3 linked regions of the Nothobranchius furzeri genome follow. The protein of the gene in region 1 purifies or fractionates together with the protein of each later gene. This does not show direct contact. Links are inferred from orthologs where the notes say so. Each region holds a gene or a part of one and is shown on either strand. Other genes may lie near its edges.

The links. Proteins that work in one complex are often made in the same cells at the same time.
Region 2: the proteins of suclg2 (region 1) and hscb purify together in Homo sapiens (affinity purification with mass spectrometry; 3 studies listed by BioGRID and IntAct, with this or other methods). This does not show direct contact. The link is inferred for Nothobranchius furzeri from reciprocal best matches to the Homo sapiens genes SUCLG2 and HSCB.
Region 3: the proteins of suclg2 (region 1) and suclg1 fractionate together in Homo sapiens (co-fractionation; 6 studies listed by BioGRID and IntAct, counting the BioPlex papers as one, with this or other methods). This does not show direct contact. The link is inferred for Nothobranchius furzeri from reciprocal best matches to the Homo sapiens genes SUCLG2 and SUCLG1.

The regions. Positions count from the first base shown.
Region 1 is NC_091743.1:57,261,125-57,265,495, reverse strand, and holds part of suclg2 (succinate--CoA ligase [GDP-forming] subunit beta, mitochondrial), read left to right. Parts: intron 1-396; coding exon 397-558; intron 559-1,562; coding exon 1,563-1,705; intron 1,706-4,371. UniProt on the Homo sapiens protein: GTP-specific succinyl-CoA synthetase functions in the citric acid cycle (TCA), coupling the hydrolysis of succinyl-CoA to the synthesis of GTP and thus represents the only step of substrate-level phosphorylation in the TCA.
Region 2 is NC_091750.1:33,251,436-33,256,575, forward strand, and holds the start of hscb (iron-sulfur cluster co-chaperone protein HscB), read left to right. Parts: upstream 1-2,169; 5' UTR 2,170-2,174; coding exon 2,175-2,536; intron 2,537-2,623; coding exon 2,624-2,720; intron 2,721-5,140.
Region 3 is NC_091746.1:79,667,237-79,672,042, reverse strand, and holds the start of suclg1 (succinate--CoA ligase [ADP/GDP-forming] subunit alpha, mitochondrial), read left to right. Parts: upstream 1-1,835; 5' UTR 1,836-1,929; coding exon 1,930-1,963; intron 1,964-4,250; coding exon 4,251-4,351; intron 4,352-4,806. Other genes in the region: cisd2 (CDGSH iron-sulfur domain-containing protein 2), read right to left, coding at 277-379. UniProt on the Homo sapiens protein: Succinyl-CoA synthetase functions in the citric acid cycle (TCA), coupling the hydrolysis of succinyl-CoA to the synthesis of either ATP or GTP and thus represents the only step of substrate-level phosphorylation in the TCA.

The DNA of each region.
Region 1 (4,371 bases):
TAGGATGATGGGCCTGGTTGGCGTCGAGAGAGGCTGAAGGAGAGATGCTAGATCTAACCTTATTTACTTTGTCCACAAAGAAAGACAAAGTTCTCACAGTCTTTAACAGAGTGGATGGAGGCTGTCGGAGAGGCAGGAGAGACAATGATGCTGATGGTGTTAAACAGCACCTTGGGGTTCCCTTTGCTCTGGGACACCAGGTTGGAAAAATAGGAAACCCTCGCGTCTCTGACTACAGAGTTAAAGGATGCCTGAAGGTCCTTTAGGTGCAGGGCTATCTTTTCATATCTTAATACTTTTTGTCATGATTGCCAGCTTTGTATTCTCTTTTTTTGTTGTTGTTGCTGTTGTTCATTATGCAAACCAGCTCTTTATCTACTTGTGTATTTTTCCTAGTGGTTTGCTTTGATGCCAAGATCAACTTTGACGATAACGCTGAGTTTCGTCAGAAGTCTGTGTTTGCCATGGATGACATGTCTGAGAGTGACCCCACAGAGATGGAGGCAGCCAAGTGGGACCTCAAATATATTGGAATGGACGGAAACATTGCCTGCTTCGGTATGACTGCAAAGCCCTTTAACGCACGCTCACCAACAAATAAATGCATCCTCCTCCTTAAGCATTCACCTTCTGGCATAGGACTTTAATGCCCCTCTTTAATTGCTTAAGTAAAAGCTCTGACACAGTTAAAACTTAGACAAACTAAAGGCTGCCCGGGTTCTCCTCCCGTCAATGTTACAAGCAGCTTTCTGAAGACTAGAATGAACACTGCCATAACCAATGCATTCTAAATAGCTATAATCCACCCAGAAAGTCTCTAGTGAGGCAGATTGTTAGCATTCTCATTAAAGGGCTCCTCTCCTGTCATAAATCAAAGCTTTTACAGTGTACAGCAGCACTAACAGGTGCTCTCGCTCCTTACCCCATAGCCTCATAAACACATTAGATGTCTGTTAGCGCTACTCCCCCTCCGTGCATACGCTCGCAGCTGATTCTGCATCCACCGCTCCCACACTCTTAGAGTAACAACAGCTTTTAAGACCCCGCAGCTTCTGTGAGAGCTCTGTAAGCCACCAAAGTGACAGCTGTTAAGGCAAATTTCCCTTTTATTGAGACCTCAGTCGGGGAGCTTGCCAGGACACAAGTTCAGCTTGGCTAAACTAAATGAGGTACGACGTATGACCCAGCAGGGTAGTAGTGCTGGCAGTAGGTTAAATGATACAGGCCACAAAAGCACAGTGCATTCTCATTTAGTCAAATCTTGTCTCTGAGGTTTATTGGTGGATTCCGTATCATTTTCTTTGATTTCTTTAACTGTTTTCCTTATTAGATGACTTGCAGTAGATCTAAATGTGGCTTTTTCTTAAACTATTTAAATCCAGTAATGTTTTAATTAACAATATTTGCAGTCATCACCCACTTATCTCAGTTTTATCTCAGATCTCTTAACCCTCTTCCTCTTGGAAAACATGTCCTTCATTCATTCAGTTGGTCATTTATTAAGGAATTCCATGGAGGAATACAAAATGATGGCCTTTTTGGGATGTTTGCTTTCCAAACAGTGAATGGAGCTGGTTTGGCCATGGCAACATGTGACATCATAGACCTGCATGGGGGAAAGCCGGCTAACTTCCTGGACCTTGGAGGTGGAGTCAAAGAGAGGCAGGTGTATGAGGCTTTTAAGCTGCTGACTGCTGACCCTAAGGTAGGTGCTGACTTCTGAAAAACATGTTGGCTTTTATTTTTTCTCAAGTTTTACCATAATAACAGATCACATAAGCCAAACTCATCCTTAGGCATTCCCTGAAAAATTTACATTGTGTCCATTGCTTGTTTGCATTTATTGGTGAGGGTTTCTTTTATAATTCACAAGTCTTTCTCTTTGTGGTTCTCTCCTTGCTTCTGAGACAGAAGCTCTCAGTAGAGAGAAGGTCCTTGGCATTTGGCTACTGTGTTGATATAAACCTTCATTTCTTAGACTAGCTCAATCATGATAAATGATAAATGGCCCGCACTTGTATAGCGCCTCTCAGAGAAAGGACTCCAAAGTGCTTTACACTACAGTGTATCATTCATCCATTCACACACACATTCACACACTGATGGTAATGAGCTACAATGTAGCCACAGCTGCCCTGGGGCACACTGACAGAGGCAAGGACGAATCATTACCGTGCAATGAATTTGTGTCTTATAGACTTATTTTGATGAAGATCGTCATGTGCATATTAACACACAACATAGTCAATCAAAGCCTGCGTCTGAGAGTCTTATCTCTGTGTGAGTGACAGCTGGGGGCGTTTTACAAATTATTCTACTCTATGTTCAGAAATCTAATAAATCCAGACTAAACAACCTGAGCCTTGTAATTATACTGCTGGGCTGATGGTGTGTTGACAGTCATCACATTTCTAATTCCCTCACTGCTGTCGTTCCCATATCCCTGCCCTGGTCTATGGTTGCCTTTGTGTTAGCATCTCGGGCAGGCCTTTAATACGTGAGAAAACAGAGAAAAGCTAACTGAAAGTTAACTTCTCTGTCCAAATTTTTATAAATGTATTCATCACTATAACAAGTGTCTTTTTTTGACTTGACTGTAAGTGATCTGCAGATTGTGTTTCATACTAATTACTAGCAGTGGTAGCTCATCTGATATTGTTTTCACCTCATGTGAACTTGTCAAAACACATCCTCAGAGAAACCTAATGTGTAACTCAATAGCTTTAAATAAAAGGCAGTCACAGAACTTGATGTGAAATGTTGACTTTTGTACTAATACCAGTATGTTAGATATGCTAGGTGTAAAATGAGAACTTTCCTTTGTGATCAGGGTATCTATATGTTCTGTTGTTTGTTGTCCCCATTCTCCCTCTGCACCTGTGAGTCGTGAGCACCAGACGCGCATTTTGCTCAAATATTTATAAGTCTCAATGTCGACACGCTGACTGGTGGTGGAGAAACTCGGGATTCTTTCAGAAGTTGATTTATGTCTTATCTTCACATTTGTCTTTGTAAGAAAATACAGTGGGTAAAAGTAGACAAAGTTTTAGTGTCTGATTCCTTCTGGTTTCGGTCTTTAGCAGCTCAAAGTGTACAAATGAAAATATATAATCTTGAAATTAGCTGTAATAGTATTTTTATGCAGTAACATGGAATCATGTTATTCATAATACACATATCTGCTGAAAACACTAAAAATCTCCTCACGTTAGGCCATACCATTACTTTATTAAGATGGCTTAAGTTTTTTTGAACTTTTTCAAACATTGCACTGTATGATCCAATTAACGTTGCATATTGTATGAAAACAGCAACTCCATGAAGTGATTGGATCCAATTTACTTCCAGTACTGGTCACTGGTGAGAAAGAAAGAACCAAAACAACACAAACTGCAGCGAGTTGACCGATAATGAGATAATGGCATTCCAATGTTAATTTGAGCTCTAAATGATCTTGAATATGTATATATTGTCTTAAACTAACCAAAGTAAAACTAACTCAGGGATTATATAAATGGCGCTCACAAGATTTTCATTGTTGGTCTCTTAAGCCAGGCATCAGCTTCTCATAAAATAGTCACTGGATAAAAATAGCCCAGCAAAGAGTTGGTGCCGTATCACAAAGTAGGTCAACAACAGAGATCTGGAGCTAAATTTGACCAGTTACTATAATAGCAGTGACCATGACACCCCCGTTGAAAATGTTTCTGACAAAACTCAATGAAAGATGTCTTTACTTGAATGAATACCAACACCATAAAATGTTGCAATGACTATCCAAACATACAATGTAAAAAAAAATTATATATATACATATATATATGTGTGTGTGTGTGTGTGTGTGTGTGTGTGTGTGTGTGTGTGTGTGTGTGTGTGTGTGTGTGTGTGTGTGTGTGTGTGTGTGTGTGTGTGTGTGTAGCTGTAAAAGAAAACCCACTGAGGAAACTTAAATTACCAATGTAGGCAGGCCAGTGTTGGACACCTTTGTAGATAAAATTGAAAAAAAAAATTGCTCACTTTAACACCATGGTTGGATATCTACCATTGAAGTCAAACATCCACTTTTTGATCGGTTTTGTCATTTAAATTACAACCAGAAAATTGGTAAGGAAAATTAATCTGGCAGCTAAAAAATTTAAATGCAATCAACAGGAGGGGGAAGAACTTCCGTCATCCCCCAAATGAAACCATTAGGGCTATTATAATACATTTTTAAATAGGATGGGTTGCAGAGACAAATTCAGACAGAATGAAAGAAACTCCATGGAGGAGAGGACCAGCCCTCCTGTTCCTCATTCTCTTCTCATCCTGGACCGTCTCCCCAAATCCAGATGGGGGAGTAAGCCTGCTGCCTGTCCCTCCTGCTGTTGT
Region 2 (5,140 bases), on another chromosome or scaffold:
GAAAATGGACAGCCTCCAGAAACTGTTTGTGTAAACACTAATGCAGACACATTTTTATGCATACCCCATATTCTATGTGCCATGTGATTCCAGTCTTTACGTATAAAATGATTTATTATCTAAACCTTTAAAGCAATTTAAAGACAAACTGCTTCTCTTCTTTAATCAGTTTAAAAAGTGATGCTTACATTTAAAATGACTCAGACATGACTGTTAAAGCAAAAAATGATTATATCATTGTTGCAGAAAGTGTACATGTTGAAAGTTGTAAAACTTTAAGGCTGTAATGCAAATGAGATGGACAAGACTTACTTTAAGGCATTAATGCTCTATGTTTGGAGTATTTCAGTGTTTACATGAATCACATTGGTTTCTCCATGTTCTGAAAACTATCGGCCATCCATCTTACAGAATGATGCTGCTATTACATCAGGACTTACACAGAAGTTGTTAAATAAGCTAACTACTGTAACTAGAGGAAAAGCCCCTCAATGCACCCCTAACCTGCACATGTAAGTGCTGACATTCAACATGACCAAATAAAAACTATATCATCAAGAAACGAGTTGTGCTAATTAAGACAAAAACTGTTGCTGAGTGATATAAAAATACCTTTACTTACAAATTAAAATTGTAAAGCATAACGCCATTCATCAACGATGATCCATAACTACTCTCCTTTACGTCCGCTGTCCATGAAAACCAGCTCCAGCCCTTTGAATCAACCTTTTGCCTCGAGCAACCGAACCACACCCAACCAGCAAGCTAAAGAAGCCACTCTTCTAAAGATGATATTCCGTTTTGGCTTGTTTAACTCAAACAACGCAAGCGCCAGAAGAGCTACCTTGCTCCCCTGCTCTCTATTCTTAGCCATTTCCTTTAATAATAACCAGAGTATTGTCTGCTGGGTCCTTGAGAAGCACCTCCCTCGACCTTCAGGAAGAGATCCTGTTTACCTTACGGATGCTTCTGTCTCCAACTAGTGTCTCTCTGGAATACTCTGCCGTCACCTTTTGTACTTCTACCACTCTAAACCACACACACACACACACACACACACACACACACACACACACACACACACACACACACACACACACACACACATCAAAGATTGTACTTTGCTAAGAAACTTTTAAGGTCATGAGTTGTTCAGGAGTTTGATATTTTGCCAAAAGCCAAACTTAAAATGATTCCAGTTCCTTGAAACTTGTACGTACCTAAGATCATGCTCACAGCAGTGATATAGATGGATGGATTGTGCAGCAGGGCTGCGCAGTGGCTAGAGCTGTTGCCTTGCAGCAAGAAGGTTCTGGGTTCGCTTCCCGGCCTGGGATCTTTCTGCATGGAGTTTGCATGTTCTCCCTGTGCGTGCGTGGGTTCTCTCCGGGTACTCTGGCTTCCTCCCACAGTCCAAAAACATGACTGTTAGGTTGATTGGTCTGTCTATATTGTCCTTAGGTGTGTGTGTGTGTGTGTGTGTGTGTGCATGGTTGTTTGTCCTGTGTGTCTCTGTGTTGCCCTGCGATGGACTGGCTCTCGTCCAGGGTGTACCCCGCCTGATAGCCCGTTGACCGCTGGAGATAGGCACCGGCTTTAATATAACGACGCCTACTGCACATCACTGACAGCAGCAACTATTCGGGCTAAACCCACAGCAGAAAGTTAGAGCTAAGTGACATTTTATTAGGCAAACATACCCTGTCTACAAGAAGCCTCGACTTTTATTTTCTAACATAAACCCTATTCACCTGCAGGGCGGGACAGACAGTAAACATTATACTGTTACTGTTAGAAACACGTTAGCTAACGAGCTGTGAAGCTACTCAGCTACATGTTGACTGACGCGTATCTCTGCCGTCGGAAGTTTGTATGCTAGCTAACGCTGCGGCGCTCTTACATCCCAAACAAACAACAAAGCTGGTGTCGTTGACTTACTTTGGATTATTTGCTGAATTCGAATTCAATATCACTTAAAAGTTTAATACTCGTAAATAGTTTTTACCGATGCTGGTTAAGCTAATGTTTTGTTTCCCAGCACCTCCGAGACGCATACGTCATCAAGCCGCGCGGTGGCACTGTCGCGTTTAAGAAACGTAGAAGAAGACCCATTCTTCCTCTGCTGTTATAGGCACAGAGGTGTGAATGTTTTGATTAGGACTTTGCTGTTAGGCATGTTTCCACTTGGCTCTCTGCGGATTATATGTTCACCTCGGGCTGCGCGACACCCGCCCTGGACGAGGAAGCATGGAGCGTCTCTTCCAAACGCTGCCACGTTAAGTCCCAGCATGGCAGCCAGCTTCCACAGCAACAACCCTCCTTGGCACAACGGCGTGAACTTCAGAGAATTTGGAAAAGTAGAATTTTATTACACTAAAACGGTCTTTTCATCCAAAAGTTGCTGCACAAGTCAGATTAAACCGCACTGCTGGAACTGTAAGCGACTTCTAGAGAAAACGTCCACATTCTTCTGCAAGTCATGCCAGGCAATCCAACCCCCCGAGGAAGGAACCACCTACTTCAAAATAATGGACTGGTTAGTGTCTTACATCACTTCAAATCAGCCATTTCTAAATGAGCTGTCATTCAATTTCATTTCATTGTGTGCTGCCCCTTTTTGCAGTGACTACACTTTCACACTGGACACCCACAAGCTGCAGACAAGATACTTGCAGCTTCAGCGATCTCTTCATCCCGACAACTTCAGCCAGAAGTCTGTGGTAGGCAGGGGAAATGATGACCAGTTTGGTGAAATGGTTCACGCGTCAAACCAGGCTCTGTTATCGATTAGTTGGACTGTGGAGCTGCAGACAAAGCATGTATATCATATGATGCTGTTTTAAACCTTTGAGAGCAAAGTGGGCAGTGTAAATAAAGCGGTTTGTTTTGGTGAAACTGCCCAAGCCCACTCTGACAAGATGTGCCTACAGCAGTGATTCAGTTGCTGTACTGGTTATGGTGGTCCAGTGGTTAAGGTATTCAGCCCAGCACTCGTAACAACTGGACTACCAAGTCTGCTACGTGACGGTCGCCTAAGCCACATATCCTGTGCTGACCAGCTGAATTAGGTTTCATACCAGAGACTATCTTCCGGGAGAGGAGCAGGGCCTGATGATTAGTTTCCATTCATGTGCAGCTGAAACAGGAAAATGCATTAACACAACCCAAAACGGGTTTGTTTGTGTAACAGTATCACGGTCAAAAGCTCCAAAAAGTGGATTTTTCCTGATAAGGCGTTTCCAAGGTTACGTTGACTGTATTAGACAATACAGAGCAACATCAAAAGAGTCATCATAAACCAAACAACAACAACAAACACCCATTTATTTTCTACTGTACATTCTGTTCTTTGCTCGATGTAAAACCACTCCCAAAGGATCCATCCATCCACCCATTTTCTGAACCCGCTTTGCGACCCAATAAAAAAATGAAAAGAAGCAGGTCTGAAAACGACATCTGAGGCTTATAGATGGTTTACTAATATTGGGTAAAACTCAAGTATTTTTCAAAGCTTCAGATGTTTTAAGGTATTTCATTATGACTGAGCCTTTTAAAAGAGAAGGAACAAAGGAAGACCTTTGATTTACTTGGTGAACACGGCTGCAAAAAGAGCCCAAAGATCACACCTTCAGTTCAGCAAACCTTTAACGTTTTATAATGTTCTCATATCCATTACCCGTTTACACAGCATCAGGTTCATGAGCATGAGATTCAAGGCTTCATTGTCCTTTTGTACAAAGGAAACGTGCACAATAAAATTCATAATTTGTGTAATTGTAATGATTTAGACAGTTAAAGCCGAGTATGAAGATAAAAAAGATGCGTGAAAAATGCAATAACTGAAATTCCCACTTTTGGCCTTTTTTTCAAGGTTTCAGCTTTAAGTTTGAACTTTTGTTGTGTAAAAACAAAAGGAGGCATGGAGAATATTATAGGTAATCCACATTTAGGAGACAACATGGAAGAAAGAGGTTTTAACTGTTAATACCTGCATAACATCAAGCAGACATAATGTGAAACTGGACAGATTTCCAGTTGTCCGCATCACGCAGAAACACATTATGCACCAAAGAACAAGCACACTCGTTAGATAAGTCATTCATATCATTTTCTCAGCTGTAGATCTGAACAGAGAGGATCCTGATTTGTGTGAATGCATCCAGCGTCAGTGGAGCTTCTAGGCACATTAAGGTCTGCGCAGAGGTAGTTTGATTGTGTTTTATCTTTTTTAGTCGATGGGCCTACAAGCTGTAGGAACAAACCTCCAGGATGTTGTAATGGGAGCAGTTGCATAACGTTAGGAATTATTCTTGTTGCTGTATTGCTCATGCGCAAATATTCAGCAACAACAAAGGAAGACTCCGTCCACCGCCCTTCAGTAATTGCTGAATGAAGGCAGCTGTGGGATTTCCTATAAAATCCCAACATCAAAGACCGCAAAAAAAAGTCTCAGATTCAGCTCATTTACAGTATAGCGTGGTATAAAGTGTCTTTTAGGTTTTAGTTACTCGTGCTGCCCAAAATAAGCTTCGATCTCACTTATTTTTCTTCCCTGGGACATATTAATCTATAATTATATATTATACCTTACTATATTAATCTATAATTCTATATTATACCTTACTATATTAATCTATAATTCTATATTATACCTTACTATATTAATCTATATATTATACCTTACTATATCAATCTATAATTATATATTATACCTTACTATATTAATCTATAATTCTATATTATACCTTACTATATTAATCTATATATTATACCTTACTATATCAATCTATAATTATATATTATACCTTACTATATTAATCTATATATTATACCTTACTATATCAATCTATAATTATATATTATACCTTACTATATTAATCTATAATTCTATATTATACCTTACTATATTAATCTATAATTCTATATTATACCTTACTATATAAGCATTTAAATGAAAACTTGCAGAAAACAGGACTGATTTAAAATAACATAACCTTAAAACTAGAACTCCCAGAGAGTTGTCATTTGACTGGGTTGTTGTTATCTAGGATTCTTAAAAATGTGGCAGTTGCACGTGAATCGGTGGTGTGGTGACAATTCATTCAAAGATTCAAACATTTCAGGTTCCAAAATGTTTATT
Region 3 (4,806 bases), on another chromosome or scaffold:
GAAGAATGTCATATTGGGTTAAACTCTCTTATTCATTGTTCTGGAAAAAGGGAAAACGTGTTTCATGCTAGCTCTGAAGCAAAGCAGCAAGGTAGCTTGTGTAGATTTAAGTCTGATAATGCAACCAGCCCTTCTTCAGCTTTTCTTCGTGAAACGCTAAAACGACGCCCTGAAGAACTTTAAATTTTCCAGACAGATGAAGTTAGAAGATCGATTCTTTGTGAGAGCTGTATCCGATGAGTTCACAAGCCACACAGCCGTGGTTAACTTAATTACCTGTTAACCTCGCGAACCCCCCGATCGTCTCCGGAAGTGGTAGTCTCTTGAGGTAGGCTGGAAGTTGAACTTTTATAATCTTAGCAATAGTTTCTAAAACCATCTTGAGTCGCTCACCAGAGACTGGGTTTTGTTGTTTGACTTGGGTAGTTCCTGGGGTTCGTTTATGTCACTGCGCTCTTTTACCAGCGTAGACGCGCGGTACGTAAAACCACACACATGTCTACGTGCAAGATGGTGCAAGCTGACGAAGCGGAGCGCAGTTGTTTTCTGTGAATACACGTAAAGATGTCACGTGATGATTTCACACAACCAATCAGCGTCGGAAGAGTTGGTGGCTCCTGATTGGACAACTTGAATTAGACAGGAAGGTCTTTGAGAGGTTCATTTTAAAAAGGGACACCACTGTGTTTACATAACCTTCCTGTCAATGAAAACCTGTTGATTAGTTTTTTAAAAAGTCACACAGAACAATTTGTATGTTTGCTGCAAAACATTTAAACCGAGAAAGAACTAAAGAAAATTAGATAACCAAGGGTTATGTTATTTATGCAGAATGTAGAAACACTAACAGCAGATGATGAACTGACAAAGGCAGACAAGCATGAGCATCAAGAATCAGAAGAAGCAAATAATTCTGACCCAGTAAGTAGTTCATAAATAATTTAATAGGATTATTACTATTATTACAATAATAATAATAATAATAATAATAATAATAATAATAATAATAATAATAATAATAATTATTATTATTATTATTATTGAGATATCATACAGTTTAGTGCATATCTAACCAGTAATGCATGTGCACTAGTTTAAGTCTCAACAGGAAACGTTCCACTGAAGAAACATGTTCCTAAATAATTTAATTATAGTAATAAAAAGTAAGTCAGATTTTAATTATAATACAACATATTTTCTTAATATTCTGCTGCTGTCAAATTTTAAACAGCTTTAAACAAATTTTTTTTCTATTTACACAAGGGCTTTGTCTATCTCTGAAGTTTTTTCTGATGATTTTTATAGCTATTAAAAAGTCCAACACAATGTTTTAACGCAAGTTTACATGGGTGACTGTAACTACAATAACCTTAACATTTGGTTAGTGTGGAATTTGTTATAAAAATTTTATTTTGTGAAATGGTAATGTTTTAATTGTGTGAGTTGTTTCAAGAAACAGCAACATTGCCACAGAAAATAAATCGACATAAAATGTCAGTTTTATTTCATTTTCCAGAAGTTGCTGATAAATGTGTAATGTGTGTAAAATATGTTTTTATGCATATATTCAAATATATTTGCAACTTCTATCCCTTTACCTCATGAGATACAGACGCCATCTAGTGCTGGCACTTGTTCTGTTCACTAGATTTGTGAAGGACTTCATTACCCAGAGTGCATTGTATCCTGAAGACACTTGCTGCAGCGCCTGCCTCAAAAGAAACAAGTAACAAAATAAACGTCGGTGTCTGTCTGCTATCTGTTTCTTACGCAATAAAATTCCAAAAAGGAAGGGACCCATCTAATTTTCCAACTGACCGATATTTTTTGAAGTTTAATCGAATCTCTAAATTGTTCAGGCAAATTTTAAGTTAGCTAACTTCCCACTGTAGGCCCCCAACCGCTTGTGTCATTGGTGAATGACCGAAGATGTCTCACAGCAGGTTATTTGCCAAGCTGCTTTGTAAGTATTTTAACATTTTGCTATTTTATTGTCATGAACAGTTCAAGCATAGTCTCAGTAAAATATGAACATTTTTTGGTTCTTAGCTGGTCATTATTGATAAAGACTCATACAGCCTTCCACAGAGTAAACTACTGCCACTTGGCTCCCATGCTAGCTAGCTACATTTGTCGGCGCTGTATGAAATGATGATAATCGTAAGCTCATTGACTATTAGCGATCAAGTTAGCAGGCTAAGTTTTCAGGAAGGTCCCACAAACAATCTACTTCCCCTTTGATAATTTATCTGGACTTTAAAGCGTCTGTTAATAGCTGTGAAGGGGTCAACTTTGTCAGAGTTAATGATTTAGCACAAGAAAAACATCCACTCTGCAGGAAAATGTTTTTGATGGATCCGAATTTGAAAACGCTTTTCGCTGAATAATTCTGCATAGGTTACGATTTGTTTTTATTAACAAACACCTCCTGTTTTGTAGTATACTTCCCTATTCACGTGGAGGGATTGAACTTTACACTGAGTAATTGCAGGTGTCAGTAAAACACAGAATGAGGATCAAAGTGCAGTCTCAAGAGCTGCAGCAGGGGCTGTAATATTAGTTCGTTCATTACTCATCTAATATGTTACTTTGTCTCATTGCTTGAATTAGAACAACATTTTTCTGTTCGGTGATCCTGCATAAGGTTTCTCAGTCATCGAGTATTGACTTTTATTTGTTGCGCGATTTAACATATTTGCTTGTAAAAATGCCAATCATTTCAAATTAAATGCCGTTTGGCTTTAAAATATTTGTGGCCAATCTTATTTCTGCTTGTTTTGATTTGGACATTAAACATGCAGTTTTTCATTTAAACATTCTGTAATTTAATCTGTAGTCTGTATTAAGTGAATTTTCTTTTAATCATAGTGACATTAGCTTCCGTTGTTGTTTGTATTTGTTTTAAAGTGCTTTCTTAAAGAGCAATTCACCTCCTACCAGAGTCTCACTCCACTCCCACTTCCTGTTTGAAAAATGCAACAAATGCTGTGCACCTCTTACCCGATAGCGATGGCAGATTTAAATTCAAACGCAGTGCAGAGTTTTTACCTGAAGAGGGTGTAACACTGACAGCTTTAGGCAGAAGATTTAAAATTGAATTAAAATGCAGTAAAGGGACATATTATTGTCTATGCGTGTCTACAGCACGATTAGACACTCATTTATATAGTTTATCAGCAAAAAAAGTTGATTTGGGGTGACGTGCTGTTCAAGGAGTTGCAATCTGCAAAAGTGGTGACTGTTTTGGTGGTCACATTGGCTTCTGAAAGTAAACTTTGAGGCTCCAGCAAAAATCTTTTCAACATTGGTCAGTGAATTAGTTAGCAAAATGTCAGAAAGCGAGGGGAGGCAAAGGAAACCACGCACTCCCAGAGCTCAACTTGACATTTCAAAAGCTGTAAACAGCAAATTGTTTGGATCTTTTGCTCAATAATCAGCTGGTGCAATTAAATTATTTTCTTTTGTTTTGTTGATTACGTTTCTGTTGATTGACATAATGATCAACAAGCAATCAAGGCATGCTTTTCTTGGACTGTACTTTATTTGTGTGCACTCAAGTCAGTGAATACTTATGTTTTGATTTTTAGTTTGAAGCATGTGGCTCATTAGTTTTTATGTCTGTTGAATGCTGTTTTGGGCTAGTTTTACACACTCCGTGATCTAATTAGTTATCACAAGTTATTTAATTTTTCTGATTTAATACGGCTCAGCGTGGAATTCGAAAATGTGACCTTCATCCTAAATCAAGTTAGAAGCAGCTGTTATTCTGAGCAAAACTAGAGTGAATGTGTGTGCTGTACATGAATGTCTGATATTTTGACCTTTAACAAAAGCAATAAATTCAATATGTTCATATTGCATTATTAATTCATAGTTGCATTTTTTGTTTTATAGATTTTAAAAGGCAGTCAGGTCTGGAAAAAGCTGATAGTGTTGTTCAGCAACTGTACAAGAATCTGCTGCCAAAACACTACAGAGCATTTGAGTAGACAGAGAATACTGTCCTCAAAGAAAACTGGTAACATTTTAATAATCACTGTAAAAATAATGAGAGTTGGTGTTTCTGGGAACTTAGCAGGAATTCACATTTTGTAGAAATTTCAGAAAATCTTTTGTAGCAGCTTATTGTTTCTTTATGCAGCACAAAGAATGTTTCCGACAAATGGAAATAGAATGATTTGAGTCTGAAACTTAACCTGTGTGTTTATCTAACATCCGGTTGCTTTCCCTTTCCTTTTCAATCCTCTCAGTGCAGCACAGTGGAGTCAGACACTGTTATACTGGAACAAGAAAGAACCTCTACATCAATAAGAACACCAAGGTCATCTGCCAGGGTTTCACAGGAAAGCAGGTTTGTATTGACGGCTCAACTATAATCTTACTTCACATCAGTTTATCTTACTGTAATCCTATTGTGAAACTCTGGTTTCCCCTACTGCCTCAAAAACTCCCTCCACCCTTTTTTCTGTCATTTTCTTTCTTACTAAGCTTCCTAGGAGAGTGTGAATATTGTCACACATGTTTTTTTTTATCCCATTGACGTTTTCACCTCTGAGCTGAACATATCTGTGCGTGCGTGCGTGCGTGCGTGCACTTGGTGGAAGTGCATGTCAGGCTTCGAGTGCATAGTAAACAGGTCAGCAAAAAACTGTAGAATTGGGACAGTGAGGAATTGGTCATCAACCCGCGCTACTGCGTTGTACCTCTGTGACTTCCTAAATGGGATTGCCGGTCACTGTTTGTACTAGTTTGCTACTTGACATAATAAAACAAGTTATTGAATTACTCTCATGTCCATCCATCCAT